Rhinolophus ferrumequinum: one gene and its partners. The protein of the gene in region 3 purifies or fractionates together with the protein of the main gene of each other region. This does not show direct contact. Links are inferred from orthologs where the notes say so. Each region holds a gene or a part of one and is shown on either strand. Other genes may lie near its edges. The genes, in order: ZNF644, CDYL and EHMT2.

What was found.
Region 1: the proteins of EHMT2 (region 3) and ZNF644 purify together in Homo sapiens (affinity purification with mass spectrometry; 3 studies listed by BioGRID and IntAct, with this or other methods). This does not show direct contact. The link is inferred for Rhinolophus ferrumequinum from reciprocal best matches to the Homo sapiens genes EHMT2 and ZNF644.
Region 2: the proteins of EHMT2 (region 3) and CDYL purify together in Homo sapiens (affinity purification with mass spectrometry; 4 studies listed by BioGRID and IntAct, with this or other methods). This does not show direct contact. The link is inferred for Rhinolophus ferrumequinum from reciprocal best matches to the Homo sapiens genes EHMT2 and CDYL.

Annotation. Positions count from the first base shown.
Region 1 is NC_046292.1:68,788,651-68,796,147, reverse strand, and holds the start of ZNF644 (zinc finger protein 644), read left to right. Parts: upstream 1-4,414; 5' UTR 4,415-4,699; intron 4,700-4,774; exon of another isoform or gene 4,775-5,000; intron 5,001-5,157; exon of another isoform or gene 5,158-5,419; intron 5,420-5,490; exon of another isoform or gene 5,491-6,092; intron 6,093-7,497.
Region 2 is NC_046292.1:89,086,118-89,093,194, forward strand, and holds the start of CDYL (chromodomain Y-like protein), read right to left. Parts: upstream 3,044-7,077; 5' UTR 2,789-3,043; coding exon 2,765-2,788; intron 1-2,764.
Region 3 is NC_046286.1:2,354,090-2,361,625, forward strand, and holds the start of EHMT2 (histone-lysine N-methyltransferase EHMT2), read right to left. Parts: upstream 3,007-7,536; 5' UTR 2,979-3,006; coding exon 2,699-2,978; intron 2,603-2,698; coding exon 2,384-2,602; intron 2,284-2,383; coding exon 2,030-2,283; intron 1,252-2,029; coding exon 1,167-1,251; intron 1,079-1,166; coding exon 1,038-1,078; intron 924-1,037; coding exon 768-923; intron 1-767. Other genes in the region: ZBTB12 (zinc finger and BTB domain-containing protein 12), read right to left, coding at 5,621-7,000. UniProt on the Homo sapiens protein: Histone methyltransferase that specifically mono- and dimethylates 'Lys-9' of histone H3 (H3K9me1 and H3K9me2, respectively) in euchromatin.

The DNA of each region.
Region 1 (7,497 bases), on a different chromosome or scaffold from region 3:
ACTATAAGATATGTGAGAGCTGAATGTGTTCTATTTATTTTTACATTGTCCAAGAGCCCAGTACAATGCCTGAAACATTGTAGGCACTGCAAGAATATTAGAAGAGATGATGGGTCTGTATCTTCAGTGCATCTTTCGTCTCTGGGTAAAAAAGGATTAAATTTATCAGCCTCCTGGAGACCACAGCCATTCTATGTTGAGGGTGAAGTATGGCAATCAGGAAGGGATCTGACAGTTTGTAAGAGACACTTCAATGTTCTGGAATAAAAAGAGAAATGGATCAGAAAAATAAAGATGACATCACCAAGTTAATTTTTAGACCTGTATTTCTATTTCAGACTAATTGTTATCTAAATCTATTTTTGAAGGTTGCAACCACCATTCTTTTCCATCTTACAATATATTTAGAAAATTTAAGTAAATAATACATGATAGAGATTTTAAGTTTCAATTTGAAGACATTTAATTTCATTTACAATTAAGTTAGATATCAAAGTCCAATTGCTAATTATTATCATGTAATTAAACACATTTGTACAATTTTATCTCTCAATATTGATAACAAAGGAAATCAACACATATAGTGTAATATTTTGGCTTACTATTTTACGTTCATTTTCTTTAGTAAAGCACATGGATCGCTGAAATTACAGATGCCCTTTTTCCTTGGATGGATCTCAACCAAATATTCCGGAACATCTGGAATCTTTCACTTTGGAAAAAATAAACAATGAAGGCATTTCTTAAGTTTAATGTGTGTGGAGTTTGAAGAAGGCTAGTGAGAGTTTTTATCTTAACAGGAGAAGGCTGGCTGATTAATTACCAAGAATCCTGGAGCAGTGGCATTTAACTAAAGCCTCCATTTGTCTCTCAGCCTTGTGAGTCCAGTTGCTAGGTTTCCAAAGTTGATCAGACTCAGTTACTATTTCCCCTTTCTTCCCAAATCCACTGCAGTGGGCTGAGCCACTCCACTGATCTTGTTCACACCATGGTCCCCAGTGATCTTGTATAGCCAATGGACACCACTTATCTCTCATAACCTCTCTGCTACATTTACACAGGATGTGCAGAAACCCTGTTTTGTGCCCACCAGTCCCATTTCCTTTCCTGCAGGACATAGAGCCTAACTACATTCCCCAACCTCTGTCTAGAGTGCTGACTAGAGTGCTGACTAGTGGAAAGTGAGAAGTGACCTGTGCCACTTCCGGGCTTGGCCACTTCACCTTGTCACACTCATGATTCTCCACGTGTGTTCTCTCTCTCTTTGCAGAGGATCCAGTAGAAGATTCTAAGGGGATGGCAAAGGCATATACAAGTATATAACGGTAGGACCTTAGGTGCTTGAATAACTGCTCCCAGGCCTCCACCACCCGCTTCCCACTGACTTCAGTAGAGTGTGATGTGAATAAGAAAAAAACTTTACTATGGTAACCCATGGAGATTGGGGTTATTTGTTGCAGCAGTAAGCTGTTACCAATAGCTCCCTGGCTCTTGCTTGTTACACTCTTGCTTGAATCTCTTCTTATTCCTCTGTCCCTTCATTTCTTATTTTCTTGGACTTTTTCTCTACTAATTCCTTAAATATTTTTTATCTACGTTTCTGTGGCCCACTGTTTACTTTCTCTATATGTGCTCTGTGAAAAAGCTCATATACTCTCATGGTCTACTTCGGATAACTGAGAGTTAGAGTAATAAATGTGTTCTTAAATATTAGATATAATTTTTACTAAATATAGTTATACTAAACCTATTTTGTACCCTGTTTTACAAGGTTTTGTTTAACGATGATTTTGAAATCTTTATTTTCTGTTTCCTCATCTTTCCCATACCCTGGTAAATTGAGAGTTGATGATACCTTTTTGTCTAGTTCTTTTATTGGACTATACAAAGCTCCTCATTTATTTAACAACTACGTATTGAATATGTACAAGGAACTGTCTTATTTCTCTTTTTGCTGACAGTGCCTAGTACAGTACCTTGCATAGAGTAAGCAATTGGTGAATATTGGTTGAATTGAATTATTTATTGTATGCCCATTATGTGTAAGGCTCTGTGCTGAGGTTACCGTGAGACAAAAATAAGGTTTGATGTATTTACTTCTTCATCTCTCTCTATGTCAAACATCCTCCTACTCCACCCTAATTAATGAACATATTATAATATTTGCAGTTTTACAGATGAGACTGCCTTGCACTTTTGGTACTCAGAGATGGGTCCAGAACCATCTCTTGTGAGGTCCTAAGACAAATCCAAATTTTGACTTGACTTTATTACTAGGATGGTAGATTAATCAAGTGTTTCATTTTTTCTTTTTGCCTGGAATTCAGAAGTATTGGAATGTTGAGAATTACCTGCTTTTATCCAACAAAAACAATTGCATTTCCTTTTTGATTAAGTCATTTGAGACCACAGCTTATTTGAATATTTTATTGGGTAATTCCATTCACTGGAATAACTAATGGATTCATATATTGTCTAATATTGTCAGATTTTAACATATTAACAATAGCCAGGTCTTTCTTTCTTTCGCTCTCTCAGCCTCTCTCTCTCTCTCTCTCTCTCTCTCTCTCTCTCTCTCTCTCTCTCTTTCTCTCTCTCTCGATTCTTCATCAGGTGAATTCATCAGAGCACTATTTTATTATAGTGAGTAGATGTGCTTTGTGAATTTTCTCTCGGGGCCAAACTGTTTTTTACATCTTGATTTTCGTTCTCAACTACAATTTCCTTTTAATGTTTTTAAATATTTTGGCATTGAGCCACATAACTGGTTCTTGGATTTTTCCAGTTTGCCTGCTTTTTACAATTTCTTTACACATTACCTTATCCAAGCTTTCTGCCCTTATCTAGTTTTCTCCCACTTATAGAAAGTTTTTTGACATATATTTTGTTTATAAAATTTCATCAACTATTACTACTTTGACTATTACAGTTACTACTATTACTATTTCTTTAGTATTGCCATTTAATTGTTGAATTCTAGTATAAACAGCTTCATTAGTGAGATAAGTGTCTGATCATGATTGAGTTGTAAGTAGTTCTACTTTCTTGTGGTATGCTCTGTCTGCACATCAGTCAGTCAGTAGTGTACATCCACAACTGAGTTTTTTTTGTTGTTGGTAACTGTTTCTGTAGTGATACAATATTGTGAGTATATCCATAGTACATAGTACTTTTATTGTTTATTGTAAGTCAGTATTAAACTGAGAATGTCCAATTTTAATGGATTCTGTAGATGAAATGACCCAAAGGACACCCCACCATTGGCTGAAAAAATTTTTTTTTAATATTTTATTGTTTATCGATTTGTGTAAGTGAAGAAAGAAAAATTGCATTTTGAAAGAGTCCAAAGAGATGTGTGACTTTGAAAAAATTACCTAACCTCTCTTTCCCTTATTAGGTTGGAATGAGTTAAACAATGTTTGGCACATAGTAAGCGCTCAGAAGTGTTAGCTATTATTATAAACGAATGCAGCAAGTATATGTATCTGTTGTTTGGAACCTATGTTTGCTGCTGCTGCTGCTGAAGTCACTATCTTATAGGAAAAAGAATGTTTCCTACTGTTCTCAAATAAGTGTAATTACAGTGTATTCTTCTGAATGCCAATAACATCTTGAAGGTTTGGAGGAGCACAGATTATGATAGCTGCTAAACTAATGAAAACTTTTTTCCTTTTTTTAATGAGAAAACAGAGATTCAGAAAAGCCAAAGAATTTATTAAGGCAGGACTAGAAGATTGCTCTGAACTTGGTTCATATGAAACATGTTAGCAACTTCTTGTTTGTTCAGTTCAAAAGCAAAGACAGAAATAGCCTCTAATTTGTGTTTCTCAAAGTGTGAAACTCTGCCCTCAGACTCCCATAGTGGATGCTTGTTAAAAGAAAGATTTCCAGAACTCTCTTGGGGCCTACTGATTCTTTGAAGGTTAACCCATGCTCGCTCAGGTGCTTCTTATATCGCTTTAATTTGGAGACTCATGCACATTCAGTAATGCAGAGAGAAAGTATCATCAGACTCAAATTGGACCAAACCCAGGGCACCTTTGAGGGTAGGCTGTTCCGCTAATTGAGATGCCACATTTGATGCTTTGCCTGGCCATCAAGCATCTCCCAATAATTGTTCCCCTTCAAATCCAAAAACCTTCCTCTGCCATTACTCTGCAGTCGTAACTGGCAACTTGAGTTCTTTAGCTGTTTTCCTCAACAGTAGGAAAAGAAAAGGAATCCTGGCACGCTAGTGATTGTGGAAATCAAATATGGGCCTGTTCCACCTTAAAGAGCCTAGGCTTGCCTAAGTGTTTGGGTCTTGCAGAGTTTGGGCACCACCATATTTGGAGCGTGCCTACTTTGGGGCGGGAACCTCCTTGAGAGTGATTAGGTCAGCGCTGGGGGAGGTGACCTTGTTTGGTTTCTGGCACCCGACAACAGAGGTGCACTGTTTCTGCTCCCCGGTTTGTCTAATTGGCCCAGGAGCTCCACCAGCGCGAAGCTGCCCAAGAGCTCTTCACTGGCCACCCCCGCGGCCCGCAGCTCGGTAGAGGCGGGAAAGCAGCGCGCCTGCGCCGTGGGAACCGGGGCCGGAGGCGAAAAGCGGGGAGCGGAGGGGGGCCGTTGGAGCCGAGTAGCGTACAGTGCAGCGTGTGACGCGGGGACGCCGCGCGCTCCCAACGTCGCCCCGGTTTGACGCACACGGCACCAAACTGTGAGTTTCAGGGGTTATTTGGTCGGATTCGCCGGGACCCGAGTGGGTTTCGGGACTCTGGGCTGTGGCGGCGGCGGGACTGAGGGTGGCGGAAGAAGTTGGGGGACCCGGCCTTCGGCGCTTGGGCCCGGGGAGCTACGCCCTAGGCTGGGTCCCAACCATCCAAAAGGACGCATTTTGCCGCACAGGCTAAGATGGCGGCGGCGGCCGAGGAGGCGGAGTTGGTGCTATACAAGGAGCCCGGGCCCCGGGTTCGGGGAGGTGGCGGCCGCGGCGGCCGCGGGGGGCGGCGGAACCTGAGGTGAGCGGCGGCCGCCGCCGCTGGGCGGGACTCGGCGGAGGCGGTAGGGGGAGGACCTTTCCACGGCGGCGTCGGAGGACCCGGTAGCGGACACAAAGGGGCTGAGCTGGGCACTAGACTTGGGGGTTTTGTTTAGTCACATGAAGACGAGCAGCCAGTGAGCAGTAGGGGGAAGGGGCCCAGATCTGGCGGCTTGGGGAGCCTGGCGGTCGCCATTGCAATGCACTGAGTAACGGGGCGGTCCGAGAGCAGTCACCAAGCCCTCTCTTCGTGGCTGCCCCGGCTTGGCCAGAAGCGCCAGCTCTAGCGTTAACTGTACACATCCCTCCCCTAACATGGGACCAGGACCGCATAGCCCTCCCCTCCCCCTGTTCTGCAAGATCTTATGCCGCTAGGTGTCCGGGAAGTAGCAGCAAGAGGTAAATCGCTCAAAGTGTTTGGGTTGCCAGGGGCTTGGTGGGTGTCCAGCTAAAGCTTTTTGCTTCTCCAGGTCTGATTCCCTGGCCTTTGTGTCCCTGGGAGCTTAATCTCTGCCAGAGGAAAGCAGGTGTGCTCCACTTCTCCCGTGAACCTGAAGATGAGTTGTCCCAGACCCTTCTCAGTGATTGGAAACTTAGGTGGTGGAGCTAAAGGTTTCTTGTTACGAGACTTCCGCAGACGACTCTCGTGTTGGGATCCATCCATGGTTTAGCAACATTAGTGGAAAACTTTTCTTGAACTGTTTTAAGTAATACTGACGTAAATTTAGTTGTTATAGAACTTTTATGTTTAGACTTCAAATTTTGTGTGGTCATTGAGAAGTACTCAACAAGGGATAAATTCAACTGGGGGCCTGAATGATGGTCCTGTTTTGTATACAAATTAAATAATTTCAACAGAAATACCAAAACACCATCATCTATTCTGGCCAGTCCTGACTAATGCCAGGCTTGTTGCATCCGGATGATAGATTAAATTTGCTTTACTAGTACATTGCCTCTCTGCAGTAGTTTGGTTATATTTTTTGGTCCTGCAAGAAGTAAAGCATTTCAAAAATAGACAACTCAAGTTGCTCAAAGCGAGGAAACCGGCTGTTTGCCTTCAGTGTCATGTGTAAGTATCCAGGGAACTTGATGGCAGCAATATTGCATTGGTAGGTTTGGAAAGAAAAAAATAGTTTTTATGAAAAAGTTATAATTTAGACATTTTAATAGGTGTAACATGAAGTTTTGACTAATATTAATGCCATGGTATATATCTATTGCTGTTAAAATTATGGCAGTGTAAATGTTAGAATTTCTAACAAAGTTATACTGCGCTTAATGGCTGCATTATACTTTGTATATTGGTATTAACTAATTTTTGAAGTACAAAATTTGGAAACAACTCATGTTTTGACCATGTCACATTAACAAAATTATTCAAGTGACTGAAAGAATACTTAAACACGTTTCGATCACTAACTTTAGATCTCTGTTCAAATTTCAAGTTGAACTTTTCAACTTTATTTAAAATTTTCCTTTTCCTTTTATTTTCCCTCCAGATTTCCCTGCTTTTAGCTTTTCTCCTAACAGAGAACAGTCTTCTTGTATTAACAAATAGGCAATATTAGCATTAGCAAAATGTATTACTGAATTACACAGTTTTAGAGTGGAAGGAATCTCGAACAACTAGTCTTACTCTCTTATGCTATATTGAAGGTCAGAGATGATTAAGTTAGTGGCATAATGGAAAATTCTCAACTTCTACCCCATTGCTGTTTTCATTGGTTATGTTGCTGGCATGAGAAGGTGACTCTGTAACTAATAATGGTTAAAAAGTAAAACAAGGAAGTGTGTTTGAGAATACTTGTTAATTAGGTGCTGTTTATTAGAACTGACAAGTTAAAAGACATTTAACATGATATGATAACTTAGTTTTTAAAATACTTCCAGTGAAACAAATTCAGATAAAAAATAACACATTTCAGAGCAATGTTGCTTTTGAATTTGGGGGTTTTCAAAAAGCAATCTTTTTATTAAAACTTTTATTTATTTTAAGTGTGTTTTTCCAGGACCCATCAGCTCCAAGTCAAGTAGTAGTTTCAATCTAGTTGTGGAGGGCGCAGCTCACAGTGGCCCATGCGGGGATCGAACCTGTGGCAACCTTGTTGTTAAGAGCACCGTGCTCTAACCAACTGAGCTAACCGGCCGCCCCTCAAAACCCAATCTTGATTTAAAAAAAAGAAAAAAAAAAAGGTAGCTTGATAAACTTCTTGGAAAGTTTGAAATAACTGCCATTATTACCAGTTATTACATAAGAAATGAGATGCTGAAAACAATGGTGCTAGTGCCTTTCATTTTGTAACTGTATTTTAGTTGGGTAAGTTAACATGCCTTTTAATACTGGTTCTAGTTAGAAACAACGTAAGACTACTGCTACTGAGTAGTAGTTCTGTAAAATCTATTAGGAAATTCTTTCAACAAGTAGTAAAATCATTTATAGTGGAACGCCATAGTTATCTTGAACTTTTTTGGAT
Region 2 (7,077 bases), on a different chromosome or scaffold from region 3:
ATCTTATCTAGTTTCTGATCCTGTATTTTTTATTCACAAGGCATAATTACAATAACCATTTAAACATTTACTATGGACCTATTACCACATACCAGGCACCATTCTAAGTGTTGGAGATCTCATTTCTTTTTAGGTGAGAAAAACAAAGACTTAGCAATCAGGTAACTTGCTCAAGTTCACGTAGCTACTGCAGACCTCTGCTCTTTCCATATCACTTTACTTCAAAAAACAAAAATTTGAACTTCCTCTTTGGTCAATACATATAGCCAAATGTGAAACTTCTATTTCGATTTAGGCAGAACTAGACAAAACTGGGCAACTTATGTCCCAGGCCCTGGCTACTTAAGTCCCTTAGTGCTCTCTGCATCCTTGCCAAACAGCTTGTCAGCACGTAGTGTTCATTTACAACTGCGTATCATTTCTGACTCACAAATACTGTCTTGGTTAAAAAAAAAAATACAATTCTGTATCTTTAGAAAACAAACCAGGCTTCGGGGAGGCGTGTTAGATCACTTCAAATAAAAGATACCCATCACTTACTGTGAGTGTCCCCATAATGGGAATTGTGGGGTATGCTTTACATATTTTTTCATTTAAACTTCACAGCTCTATGACATAAGCATTGCTTTCAATTTTATAGATGAGGAAACTGAGCCTTCAAGGTTAATTTACTACCCAAGGTGACAGGGTTGGAATTCAGTGTTTTCTGATTCCAAAGCCAGGCTCTCAACCACTATGCAGAACTTTCAAATATCAACTTTCAATCATAATATAGTCATAGTGTTGCCTACAAGTAAAGGAGAATTTGAAAACTTATTCTGAAAGACACTGCCCACCATATTATTTACTATCACCTCAACTGCACTCCTATATTGTTTTTCAAAACTACAACAAAACCCAGAATCAAAAGTTCAATTGTGCAGGTGTATCGTTCCTTTGCAATGTACCTATTTTTTCCCCAGTAGATGCTCTTGGAGGCCATGAACCATTCTCATACCTCCCTATCTCTCCCTATGAAACCTCCATAGGACATGCATTCAATAAACATGCTGAATAAACAGAAACATTGTAGAAAACGTGACTTATAAATAAATTCTGCCAAGAAAGTAGTAAGTAGAAGATAACAGAATAAGCAAAGAAAGAACTAAATTTAGTTCATCATACACTAGTGGTAAATGTATTGTTTTCAGGATCATTTTTATACACATAAGATACAACTTATGTATAAGGTGCTACCCTCACCCAAACATTAATGGTTAACTGATTATGTATTTATGATCACAAAAAATGAAGAGTGAATACTCAAGTCTAAACTATCACAGTATAATCTAACGGAGAAACCAAAACCCCTCACATCCTCATGCTGTGGACTTTCCCAACCATGTGTCTTAGCCTGGAAGACCTTCTGCATCTTAGCCTCTACTCTGGGTCTTCCCCATACACTTTCCTTCCTAGAAGGGAGGTCTTGAGAACAAGGAGATTATTTTCCCCTTTACACGCCCAAATGATCCAAGACAGTACCTTGACTACTAGGGCACTGCTACTGTGTAAAATGGTTTAATAGAAGGGAACATTTTCAGTGCTAGCTAAGGTACGCTGACCACATACAATTCAAGGGAAGACAACCACCTTACCATTAATTCTACAGAAGGCAGCCTCCTCCTGAGAACTTTTGCAAACACTTGCTTTTAAAAAACAACAAAAAGCTGCTAGAAGGCTATCATTGTTGGCAACAGAGCTCCATTCTGTGCCAAAAGCAATAATACACCCACAAGAGAAGACACCTCAAAGGGATCACCTGGTATTTATTAAGGGTTCGTTCACAAGGACCAAGGGACTCTGCTTGTTATAGACGCTTACTTAAGTCCCTAAACCTGAGGTCCCTAAACGCATCATAAAGGTGAATCCAGAGTATCCAGAAGTTTTAAGTTTCTTAAGAAGATACACTTACAAACATCTATGAAACACAAGAATCACTAATTCAAAAGAACAGAAAGCCTTCCAAGTGTCTGTGCTCCCAAGAAGTCTACTTTGAAATACGTCAAAAAGTTACATCGAGGGATACAAAATATGTTTAAAGATCCAGACTGATAACTCAAGAACTTGAAGTTGAAGCTGGCAAAACCACTGCCCATAACTAAGAGTTCTGATTATGCCTTTTCTCACTTACAACGCTGCGGCGCAAATGAATGACGGTGTATCAGCGTTAAATTTAAATTTCCTGGCTCTAGCCACAATGCTAACCTAATTAAAGCATGTGGTCAACGTTTAGCATTTTCGGTGCGATATTTTGCATCGCTTTGGCCAACAGCAGAATCGAGAGACAGTTGCACTCTTCCTCTCACCAACCCCCTTCCCAAAGCCGGAGGCAAAACCCTCTCCAAAATGCTCTATTAATGGACAGGAAAAGCACCCCCGCAACGCCCACAGACCCCGCCAAGCGGTAACGGGGGCTTCACACCTATCACCCTCGCCAAGAACACTTTGGACTCAGTCTGAGCAAGTCACTCGTGCAAGCGCTACTTCCCCACGGCCGGGACCCCCCCACCCCCAGGAGCCCGACAACTCCGGGGAGCACCTCCGCCCGCGGGGCCCCCGGGGCAGCGTGGCTCGGGCTCCCCTCGCACACATTTCCCGTCCAGCAAACTGCGGCCGCGGAGGGGGAGGGGGCGAGGCTGGCGACGGCGGCTGAGCCGGGCCGTCGGGCCGGGCCGGGGCGGCGAGCGGGGGCGGCCCGAGGGTCTGGGAGGGGGAGGGGAGGTACCTCGTACAGCTCCTCGGAAGCCATGGTGGGCAGCGGAGTTGCGGACAGGCAGGAGGGGCAGGGTTGGGGCGAGGCGCCGTCGCCGCCGGGCGGCCGACACTTTGTTTCAGTTGGGTCCCTGCGTGGCCTGCGCTTCCTGCTCCCGCTCCCGGCGCCGGGAGCTCAGCACTGACGAGCCTCTCACACTCACTGCCAGTGCGGGCCGGCGGCCGCGGCGGGGTTGTGCGCAGGAGCAGCTGCGCAACGCGCCCTCCGCTCACTCCCCGGCGGACCGGCTCGGGCTCGGGCTCATCGCGCCCCGCCGCGGGGCCAGGCTGGGGCGGGCGCGGCGGCGGTGCACGGCGGCGCGGCTGGCTCCGTGGCTCCCCCTCTCCGGTGTAGTGCAAAAAGCTTCCTACTTGCGACCAAAAAACCTGCCCCGGCTACTGAGCATGCCCAGTGAGGCCGCCCGGGCCCGGCGGAGCCGCGCTCCTGCGTTCCGGGTTTTCGGGCCGCCCGCCCGGGAGAGGCCGGCGGGGCGGGGCAGCGGAGAGGAGCAGTGGGCTCCGCTCCCGGGGAAGGCAGGCGGGTGACCGCGGTGAGGGATCCGGCAGGAAGGGGAGTGGCCATGGAGCGGTGGGCGGGGTCATGGCGAGATGAGGGCGGGACCGAGAGGACGGTGGGCGGGGCTCTGACTTCCCCAAGTTCCCTCCGCCAGGTCCGAGCCGGCCCAGGCGCCGCCCGCCTGCCCGCCTCGACGTGGGTGCTGGGTGCCGGAGCCCAGTACCCAGTGGGGCAACGCATCTGCGGACCCGAAATTGAGCAGGGGACCGTGGGGGTGTGCCAGCCCGCGTCTGGAGTCCACTGCCCCGACGGCAGCGGCCGTGCGGACAAATGCATGGCTTTTCTCCTGGAGAGCGCAGAGCTCCCACCACCGAGCGTCCGCCGCAGTCACCGGTCCCGGGCCAGGCCAGCCCTCAGAGGGCTGGCGGCGTGGCCAGGTGGAACACCCCCGCCCTACCACGTGCCCGCCTCCCCGGCGGCAACCGCCAACACCCGGAGCCCGGACCACGTGCCCCGCGATGTGGCCCGGCGCGCTCCGGGCAAGCTCGGTCCGCGGCAGGCTGGGGGTGGGAGCCTGGGGCGGGAGCCCGGCGCAGGAGAGGGCGGCGCGAGGGCGCGGCTGCCTCCACTCTGCCCGCAGCTTCCCCCACGCCAGGCCTCCCTGTTCCTCTTGGAGCATCCACCTCCTCTGAAGGGGAACTAGGAGGAGGGGCCGAAATCTGGACTCCAGGGAGGTCTAGGTTCTACTGGAACGAAGCTGTCAGTGGTGGTCCTCCTAGGGGGGAACGGTGTGGACAACTACACCACGGGTCTCTCGGTCAGAACAGCGATGGGCTGGCCCGTGCTCCACTTCACAGGGGAAATGGGCAAAGTGGGGACGGCCAGCATGACTAGTGTCCAAGGCACACCTGCCGGGAGACTGGACGTTCCCCAAAGCGTGCGGAGTGAGGAAGGGGCTTCCTGGCCCGACTCTCCCAAACAGCCGACAACTCCAAACCTTCCTGCTGAATGCAGCGGAACTTCTCCACCGGGCACTGCAGAGACATTTTTCACATTCTCTCCAACTCCCTACACCTGGAAGCCACCATCAAAATCCTACATTCCTCCCCATGCATCCTCTCCTGCCACCGGTTCCTGGTGCTCTACCCAGCTCCAGTTCCTAACCGACCTCCCACCCACCAGGCTCCTCCCACCAGTTTTCTCCCTAAAACCCCATTCGAGTGTGCCCGGAATATACAGTTTAACAACCACAAGGCTTTTCACAGACCCCGCTGAGTTTCCTGCCCTCCCCACGCCCAAAAAAACGAGCACAACGCTTGCTGTTGATTCCCTTCAAGTCGAATCACCATTCTCTTCATACCGGTGCCTCCACCTGAAATTCCCTCTGCTTTGGAATGCCCCTTTCAATCTCCAGCTCCAACGTCACCTCAAAAGCATAGCCGCCTAACTTCCAGGGCAAAATAAGTTACTCCCTCTCCAGTGGCGCCTGAAGCACTCAGGAGTGCTCCATTGCAGCACTTAGGTATCTCAGTGTATTTTCACTGTTTTGTCCACTCTTCTCTCCCTCTTCTATTTCAAGACTATGACTTCCCAGATCTCATCTTCAAATTTGACTCTTCAGCCCCTGGCACCATTCTCTACATACAAAATAAGTTTTTGTTCAATAAAGTGGAATTCCAGTGTCCAAAATAAAGCCGGATACGCACACATCCAAATCCCATTATTAAATGCTTTAATAGCAGAATCACATTAAAGTTCCCATCTCCTTTGTCAAGGCTCTCCCAAGTTCTACCTTTTTTTCCCTGAGGGCCAAGCAAATTCTCTTTCCCTCCTCCAAATATCAGCGCCTCTCTCCTCTCACTTAGCAATTTCATTATTTGCTGCATTTGATTATTGTCTCTCTAGGCACACAAATTCATCAACGTAAGTTGTAAGCTCCTTGAAGGCAAGGACTAAGACTTTAACTGCGAAGTCTCAAGTCAATTAGTGCAAACGACTCAGCAAAAGTGCTCAAATACTTGCAGGAGATGCTTAAAAATCACAAGCATAATCAAATATATATAAGAAAAAAGGAATCCTCAATATGAAATGAACAGATATCTCACATACAAACCTATATACAATGATAGTAGACTGATATAAACAATTTTTTTCTCATTGCCATCGTAAGCACAGAATTTGCTACACATTCACAAGTTGCTCCACCGTATGCTTAGTGGCTGTGATATTAAATATATTGTTCTTGAAGTCTCCAATACTACCACTGTTACCAAGGGAAGGGAGAAAGAAACAAGGATAGAAAGATATCCACAACAACCATACTTATTAAGCTCATACATTTGAGGGTATATGCAATCATAGGTTAAGATGACTTTCCCCATTGTGAGAAAAAAGAGAGGAGGACAAATTACAGCCTAAAAAGATTAACTCCAAAAAGTCAATTTACATGGATGGACCTTTAATCCTGATGACCAGGCTTATTTATGATGCTATGATTATTCGTCAACGTTAAAAGAGTATCCACTGGGTAGAGATCACCGCCATAACAAAGCAGGAGTAAGCCATTCTCCTAAGCTCAGTTCCAGCTACCTCTCTCCTCCAACAATTAGTTGGTTTCCATCTTAATTAAGAACACGGCAGAGGAGACTGGTACTAAGGTAGCCAACTAGTGACTGAGATATTAAGCAAGTCTTCAACTGTCCATTTTGTTCCTCTCATCTGCCCTCCACCTAAAACACCTACCAGTTTATTGAATGCTATTTTGTTTATGTTTATATTTTACCTCATTAGTTCAATTTGTCTTACTTTTAAGCAAATTCTGCTTTCTTCCCTCACTTTTTTATATAAACAACATTTTACCAGTGTTCATAATAGAAGTAAATATGTCCAAGATTCTTTAATGGCTGTGAATTTCTACCTTTAATGAAAGAGTGAAAATTTGCAGTAGTTACCATGACCACATGTGTGGGTGCTGTGAAAGTACTTTCTCAGTAAATTTGAGAATAAAAGTGAAATCACATTTTCTAAACACATCAAGATATCTGCATTGTACCAAAAATACATGCAACACAATAGTATATACTAGTAAAATACATAAATCATAATGATTGTAGAAGCAGTCAACATCGAGAGGACATACACATGCGATTGAAATACTACACATCTATGGGCAATAAGTTTCAACTCTTACCTTCTGTGAGCCAGTGGTGGAGACCAACATAAACCAGTTTACTCCTTTTCCAAATTTATCTGAACAATTGGTAATAGACACTCAGTACGAATCAAGGTAAGACTCCAAATCAGGAGCGAAAGCTGTTTCTCACTCGCAGAACAAAGACTAATATATTAAATTAGAGGTTCACCCCTTTTCCCATTCAACAGCCCAACTGGTCACATCTTCCATTCTCCCAAGAATTTGCATTCCATCTACATTTGAATTCCAAGGCCCTGGTGAGGAGATGGGGGATGGGACTGGAAAGACAAAAGAATCCAAAATTTAGCAACTACTACCCTCAGAACCAAAGGCATTTTGAGTTGGGATGACTGGAAAAGCTGCCAATAATGATTCCCTTCCTCAATGTTGCACCCCAAAAGCATAATCTATTTGGGCTACCTCCTCCAAAACCCAAAATTTAACTGTGGTTTTTATGAAGAAGTGACCTATGTTTGTTTGTTCACACTGTGGCCAAAGATAAATTAAAATATCATTCTTGTTATAGAGTACCCACTCCACAAGACTTGGGGAAATTCCTCTCTCAATCACCTACTCA
Region 3 (7,536 bases):
TTGAAAATTAAAAAAAATTATTTAAAAAGCCAGCTGAGTATTGAAAATTGTTGGAGCTGGGTGATGGCTACATGGGGCTCATTCTTCTATTCTTTTGTTTATACAGTTGGCTATTGAACAACACGGGGGTTAGGAGTGTCAACCCCCACACAGCCAAAAATCCATGTATAACTTTTGACTCCCCAAAAACTTAACTAGTAGCCTACTGTTGACCGGAAGCCTTACCAATAACGTAAACAGTTGATTAATACATTTTGTATGTTTTATATATTATATACTATATTCTTACAATAAAGCTAGAGAAAAAAATGTAAGAATTCATGAGAAACATACATTTACAGTGTTTATTGAAAAAAATCCACATATAAGAGGACCAGCGCAGCTCAAAGTGTTGTTCAAGATCATCTGTATTTGAAAGTTTTCATGATAAAACACAAAATAAAAAGCAAAACAGGCAAGACGCAGCATTATAGTGCATAGGCAAACATGTATGAGATAAACCAAGAGCAAAGGGATAAACGAGCAAACAACAAATAAACCATAAAATGGGATGCTAAACCTCAAGTCCAGGATGGTGGCCACTATGGAGAAGGGCACAGGGATGGAATGGGGCGCAGCATATATGGCAATAAGTTAACGTAGTGTGGGGCAGTGAATCAGGGGGTGTTCAGAAGATAAAAAGAGAAGAGTGACACAGGGGGCCACTGAGGGGTGACTGACACAGGGGGTGACTGAGAGTGCACCCGGACATGGCTGGCCCCTCTCACCTTGCTGTCAGAGTCCACACGCTCATCCACAGAATAGGCGTCATAGTAGAGGCTGAAGTCATCCGCCACCACCGTCTCCCACTCCTCCAGGGACCCAGGGTCCCTCTTGTCCAAGGTTATTTCTCCTGAACCCCGAGCAGAACCCAACTCCTCCGACTAGAAAAAGATCAGAACAATGGAAGCTCCTAGCACTCCCCCACCAACCAACCCATTTCCCTTGGAGCAGGCCCCCAGGTGGAGAGGCCTTGTTCCCTGCCTCTCGAGGCTCACCAGGCCACTTCCCGGGTTCAGCTTCCTCCTTTTGGCCACATCTGGAAGGAGAGAAAGCAGTGAGGCTTGTACCCTAAATCCTCAGGACTGGCCACATCAAGCTCCAGGAGGGTGGGAGGTGGGACTGACCTGAGGTCACCTTCCTCAGCGAGTGCATGTCATCACTCATACGGAAATGCTGCACTTCAGGTGGCCGCTTCTCAGGGACTGGGGGCTGGGGACCGAGAGGGAGCACACTTAGGGTCAGGGAAGGAGTAGGGTCGGTGGCCAAGATTAGCCTGGAGCCCCAGATGTGGGTGGGATGGTAGCCACACCCTCAAAAATGCCATCTGTACCTGCACTAACCAGAATGTGGCTATAACAACTGCTGTCTCCTGAGAAGTGTGTCAAGCACATCCCATACCTAACCCTCATTTCTCTCTTCAAGCATGCAGCAGGCCCTTTCTTCCCATATTACAGATGAGAAAACAAAGGTTAAGGCCTTGACCAAAGCTACCCAAACCACACCCAGAACAAAATGCTACCAAGAGCCCCCAAAACACAGTCATAAAGCTTGTGAGATTCTGGGACCTCTGTCATTTGTGGGCCATATCTCCTTCCCAGTAGGAGGTACAACCTTTAAAAATGAAGCAGGGGCAGTTTCAAAAACAGGAAAAAATCCTCTGGGGGCTTGCTTTGAGGTAGAAAGAAAGAGTGATTTGAAGTTTCTTTACATAGTCATTATCTTAAGAGTACTTAAAACATTGAACTATGTAAGTCTTTACTTTTGTCTCTTCTATTACGCTCTTCCCAGGAATTATAAACTCCAGGAAGACAGGAACCTGTTAGTTCAGATTAAGCCCCAACCCAGAATTTAAACAAAGTAGCCCCTTGATAAATATGTAAAACTGTGAACAGAGAAGGCCCAAAGCTAAATTGTAAAAAAAGCCTACAAGACGTTGAAGGTTGCTTACCTGGCCCTCCCATCCCCACAACCCTCTCACAATCCTCACCTGTCCATTTCCAGGTTTGGACATGGTTTTCCTGGCTCGGTGGACCTTGGGCTGCCCCTCCGGACTGGTTGTAGCTGGAGGGGGTTCAGGCCCTGCTGCTGCTGCCCCCTGGGCTCCAGGCATACTCAGCAGCCTCATCGCCAAACTCTGGACTGATGGGGGTGATTTTCCGGCCCCTGTCATTGACATCTTGGCACGGCTGGGACAGGCATTCCCCCTGCTGGGGGAAGCCGGGAATGACTTTGTGGCATGGCCTGGAAAACAGACAGGCAGGCAGGCAGAGAGAGGCAAGATAAGAAGGAAGGCAGAGTCAGAGGATACCCCACCTCACCCCCAGACTCCGAAGCCTCTCACCCAGCAGGATGCGTCCCCCTTGGAGGTCCCCATCTCCCTCAAGATTCTCAGGTTCATCCCCAATGGGCGGTGTGGCTCCTACAGGGGTGTCAGCCCCCTCATCGCCAACAGTGACGGTGACAGAGGCTGGGGATGAGGGGCCTGCAGCCTCCAGGGAGTCGGGGTTGGCCTTGGGCAGGGTCTCCTCACTACAAGGGGTGTCCCCCAAAGAGCCATGAACTGTAAGGGAAGAGAAAAAGTTCAGGGCTAAGGGCTCAGGGGATCTTGTATTTGGAGAGGTGAAGGTCCAGATGGGCCCGTTTCTGCTGTACTCACCTCTCTCGGTGGCTCCTCTGGGCTCCTTGTCCAGCACCAGCGCCCCCATTTCAGCGGGGGCCTCTCCCTGGGAGGCGACACAAGGTATAGGAGGACTGGTCAGACCAGTAGGAAGTTGGGGGGCCCAGGACGCCTGGGCCCTGGGGAGAGAGAGTAGGCTCCGGGGCCTACCTCTTCCTCTATGGGATCCCCCCCTTCCGCGGCCTCGGCTGCCGGGAGGGGCCGCACGACCCCTCCCCCGGGCCCGCATCAGCCCCCTCCCTCTCGGTAGACCCCTCATCTCAGGGACCGAGAAGAGAGGAGGGGGAGGGGGCGGGGCCTCAGCGCCCCGGCCCCGCCCCCTCCTCCCGGCTGCACGCGCCGCTCCCCCTTTGTCCCCCAGGCCGCGGGGACCCCGGGCACCAACCCCTCCAGCGCCCGCTGCCCCCCAGCCCGGTGGACGGCCCCTTGTGCCCCTCGCGCGTGCTCCTGGGGCCCCGGCGCCCGCCGCCCACTCCGGGACAGCCGGCGGCTGCACGCGCGCCTCCGTGCCCACTCCCCCCACCTCCCACCCCCTGGTCCCCTCATTCGCCCCCGGTGCTGGCCCTCCGGATTGCTGTAAGTCCCGCCCGGGCCCCCCGGCCCCGTTGCACCCCCGGAGCATTGCACGGGTGCGCGCTTCCCCCGGGCGCGCGCGCGGGCATGCACCCGCCTCTCCCCCTCCCCTTCCGCACCTCGGCGGCCGCCGCCACTGCAGCTCCCGCCGCCGCCGCCATCGCCGCTTGCGCTGGGGGCCGAGCCGGCGCGCGGCCGCCCCGGGTCACGTGGGTGGGGAGGGAGGGCTAGGAGGAGCCTTAAAGGAGCCACTGCACAGGCCTCTGGCCATTTTCCCCCGAGAGCGGCCTTGGAGATGGCAGTGGCTCCCCTAAGCTGGGCGCTGTGGGGGCGAATCCTGCCATTCCTAGCTTCAGCTCATCGGGGAACCGAAGGTGAAGCACGCCTGGGTCCGGGTGTGGGTCTCCATCCCCCACTGTTTTAGGTAACAAGCGGAGCGTCTGAGCCTTCCGGCTCTCGGCAGCGGCTGTATTTCCAATCTGGTCCGCGTGTGCTTCTGCTTCGTGTTGCTCTCTAGTTTCTGGGTCACCAGGCAGAAAGCTCGGCCTCAGTTTTGGCCTCGCTTCTCTAACGAGCAAGAAGGGGATGATGGGGACGCGCAGAGAACACTTTTACTCTTGGCTGGTTCTAGCATGCTGCTTCATGTCCCCCTTTGAAACCTGGGGCTGTCTCTTCTGTTTGTAACAGACATGTTATGCCACCACATGCACTAGGGATCCAGGTAAGCCTCCAGTGGCCCAAGGGTCATTACTGTCTAGTGACACTCTAGTAAAATAACCTTTTTTGCCAAACACTTCACAAGCATAGTCAGGCACTCCGTGGGTCATACATAGCCCAGCCCACACTGGAAGTATGAATGATACTAGGCCTTGGTGTACAACCTTGATAACTCTATTTAGGGTACCGTCCCTTTAAGTACTACTTCTGGTCAAAGTTAGGAAAACATCTGTTTGATTTCACCAGCAGTATTTGACACAGGCAGGTGGTTCGGATATAGGGCACCTGAGGCCAATTCAAGGCCTTCTGGGAACTGTAGTTGTCTTTGGTTAACTTTTCCAGAGCTTTCTGGGAATTGTAGTCTTCCCCATACCCTAATCCAAAGTGGTTTTTAGCTTTCCCGAGGGCGTGAGCCCTTTCCCCAGACCAAAAATGCCCAAACATAGGCTCCTGCTTACACTTTCAGTGGGCACAATGATCACACCTGTAGCATATCCCTGGACCTGATACCAAACTCCTCAGAGGAGCAGGTCATGTGTTACCACCACTGCCAAAGAAATCACAGAACACTTGTGCTGTGAGCTGTCTGCCAGGTGTGGAAGTTGCAGAACTGGGAGGGTACCTGTCAGAGGAGCCCACTTGTCACACTGCTCTTCTGCTGTCAAGGCTCCTTTAGGCATGGGACCTGCATGAGTTTTGACTTCTGGGTATTGAGCAAATGAGAGGCTGTCTAGGGTGGGTCAGTCATTTACAAGCAGTTGCCAGAGTATATAAAGAAAAAAAAATTGTTCTTTTTTTATTTTGTGGAAAACAAAAGCAGAAAAACTAAAAGCCCAAACTCCAGAAAAAATCCTAAAAAATACGTTTTGTTTCTTTAAAAAATACTGTATGTCTCTACTCCTCTCCCTCCCCCCAAAGAGCCCTTCTTGTGTCCTTTCATCTACGTGCCCTACCCCCCACCCCCTACTATTTCTTGTTCTTGCTATTGTACCCCACTTCCCAATATCTACCTAGGATGCTCACCCATGTTCTCTTACCTGCCACCTTACTTGTTCTCCCTAGAATTTTAGTGAGCCTTGTACCCACAGTCCCATTCTCCCAGCATGCAAGACCTGTCCCCACTTACTTTCCTGGGATTCAATAATCCTTCCCCCTACCAGTCCCTTTCCCAAGGATCTATTCTAAGCAGAAGCTTGTGAGCTGCCTCCTGCCAAATTCCCTCCCGATTCCCTCCCACCCACCCCTACCTCAAGAAATGTCAGACCTCTCCCTGGGAAGGCTTAGCCAGTAATAAAACATTTTCCAGTCTTTTTTCCTCCTCATTCTGTAGGACCCTTTCCCTCCCTCCACATTTCCATGCACCTCTAAGAGAAGACAATCTTTCTCTGGGACCCCATATTCCCTTGGCCTTCTCCAAGAACTCTCTGCCTCTCCATCCTTTTCTTCTGAAGATGCAGGATCTTCTCTCCAAGGAATTTGGGCGCTTCCCTCAGGATGTGTATGTCTGCTCAGGCTCCCCACCGTACCTGTTTGTCCCCGACACACACCCCCTATTCTCCTGGGCCAGGGAGCCACCTTCCCACCCAACCCAGGAACCCAGCGCCTGCCCGGCTAGCGGATGAGAACGTTGATCTCAGCCACGCTGGCCTCCAGCACGTTCTCGGCCGTGGTCTTGCCGTGCTGCTCCTTGAGGTGCCGCCTAATGGCAGGCTTGTGGGCGAAGCGCACGTCACAGTAGGAGCAGCGATAGGGCCTCGCTCCTGAGTGAAGGTTGAGGTGGTCGTGCAGTGTGGACTTCTGCGTGAAGCACTTGCCGCAGATGCCACAAGAGTGTGACTTGACGCCGCGGTGCACGTTCATGTGGCGGTTGAGGTTGCTGCTGTGGTTGAACTGCTTGCCGCAGCGCGGGCACATGAAGATGAAGTGTTGTGCCCGCATGTGGAAGACCAGCTTCTCCACGCCCTGGAACACTTCCGGGCACTTGGTGCACTTGATGTTTTTTAGGGGGTTTGTACTGGAGAAGCCCCCTGGCAGAGGGCCCCGGCTGCCCCCTGCCCCCAGGCTGCCCCCCGCCCCCCGGGCAGCCATGGCCACCGCTGCTGCCTCTACTAGGCCCGAAGTGGCCCCCACGCTGGCCCGGCCTCCGGGGATCAACAGCAGGCCCTCCCCTTCTGCGTCCTCAGACAGGCTGTAGCAGGCTTTCACCACACCCTGTGGTGGGGCCACAGTGCTGGGGGGCACGCTGCTCTGGGCCAGCTCCCCCAGGTGGCTGCCCACTGAGCCACTGATGCCCAGACCTCCTCCTAGGCCTCCGGGAGGTTTGAGCCGGTGTGCCACCTCCAGGGCCGACTCCACCTTGACGATGCAGATGTCAGACACATCCTCGTCCTCATCCTCATCCTCTTCCTCCGCCTTCAGCTCCAGGTCCTCATCCAGTGGGAACTCCAGCTTCACAGGCCGCAGCAGCGGAGGAGGTAGAGGGGGTGGGGGGGGAGGTTTGGGGGCTGGCTTAGGGGTCCTGGCAGGAGGAAGGAGGGATTTGGTAGCACTGACACTGCTCACAAGGCTGGCATCGCTGACCCCATCCTCTTTGAGACCTATTTTGGGCTCAATGAACTGGCTGAGGGCGTTCCGGCATTTCTCTACCACGTGCTCCATCTGCAGGTAGGAGGCAGCCGTCAGGTAGTTAACGATATCCCTGACTGCGAATTCCAGGGCACCCGTGTAACAGGAGAGCAGGAGGTCGGCCACGATGCGTGCACTGTGCATCAATGAGACCTGCAGCTCAGAGCTGGGGTTCAGCAGGAACTGGTCCCGCAGGAAAGGGGAGCAGGCAGCCAGGATGACCTTGTGGCCGCGGAACTTGAGGCTGTCGGCCACAATGGTCACGTCGCAGAACCGCTCCTCTGCGCGGAGCTGGTTCATGTTCCGCAGCGTAGCGGCCTCGTGGCCAGGCAGCTGGAAGCGCAGGACTTCCACCCCAGAGGCCATTGTGGCGGGGGAGTGGGCAACCCTGGTTGGGAAGGAAACCGGTCAGAGACAAAGGTCTCTGGCTCTCCTAAGCCAAGGCTCCAGGCCCCTCGCCCCCATTCTTGCCCGGTCCCCCAGCATCACATCTCCCAGTCTTCAGGCCTCTTCCTCAGTTTCCCCTGCCCCGGGGGGAGGCGCTGTCCCTCCGAAGGGAGGGAGGCGTGGTTCCCGGGGGCGGGGCAGCGGCGTCCATACCCCCAGCCCAACCGCACCGCGAGGATGGGGAGAATCCTCGTGCCCTCGGAATCACAGAGGAAGGGGTAGCAGAGGCCTTGGACTCTAGGCTCTGGGGTGCCCAGGATGCAGGCTCTTGTCACCCCGCCCCCTTTACTCGCTGCCTCTTTCCTCCGCCCCCCCTTTGCACGTTTGCACGCGCCTTTCACGTCCTCCCCCCGCTGCCTGCACGCATGGTGCACGCCACCCCCCCCCCCCCGCCCCGCTCAGAGCTCCGTGGCACGCCCCCCCCAGCCCCACGACCCTGAGTGCACGCGCCTCTC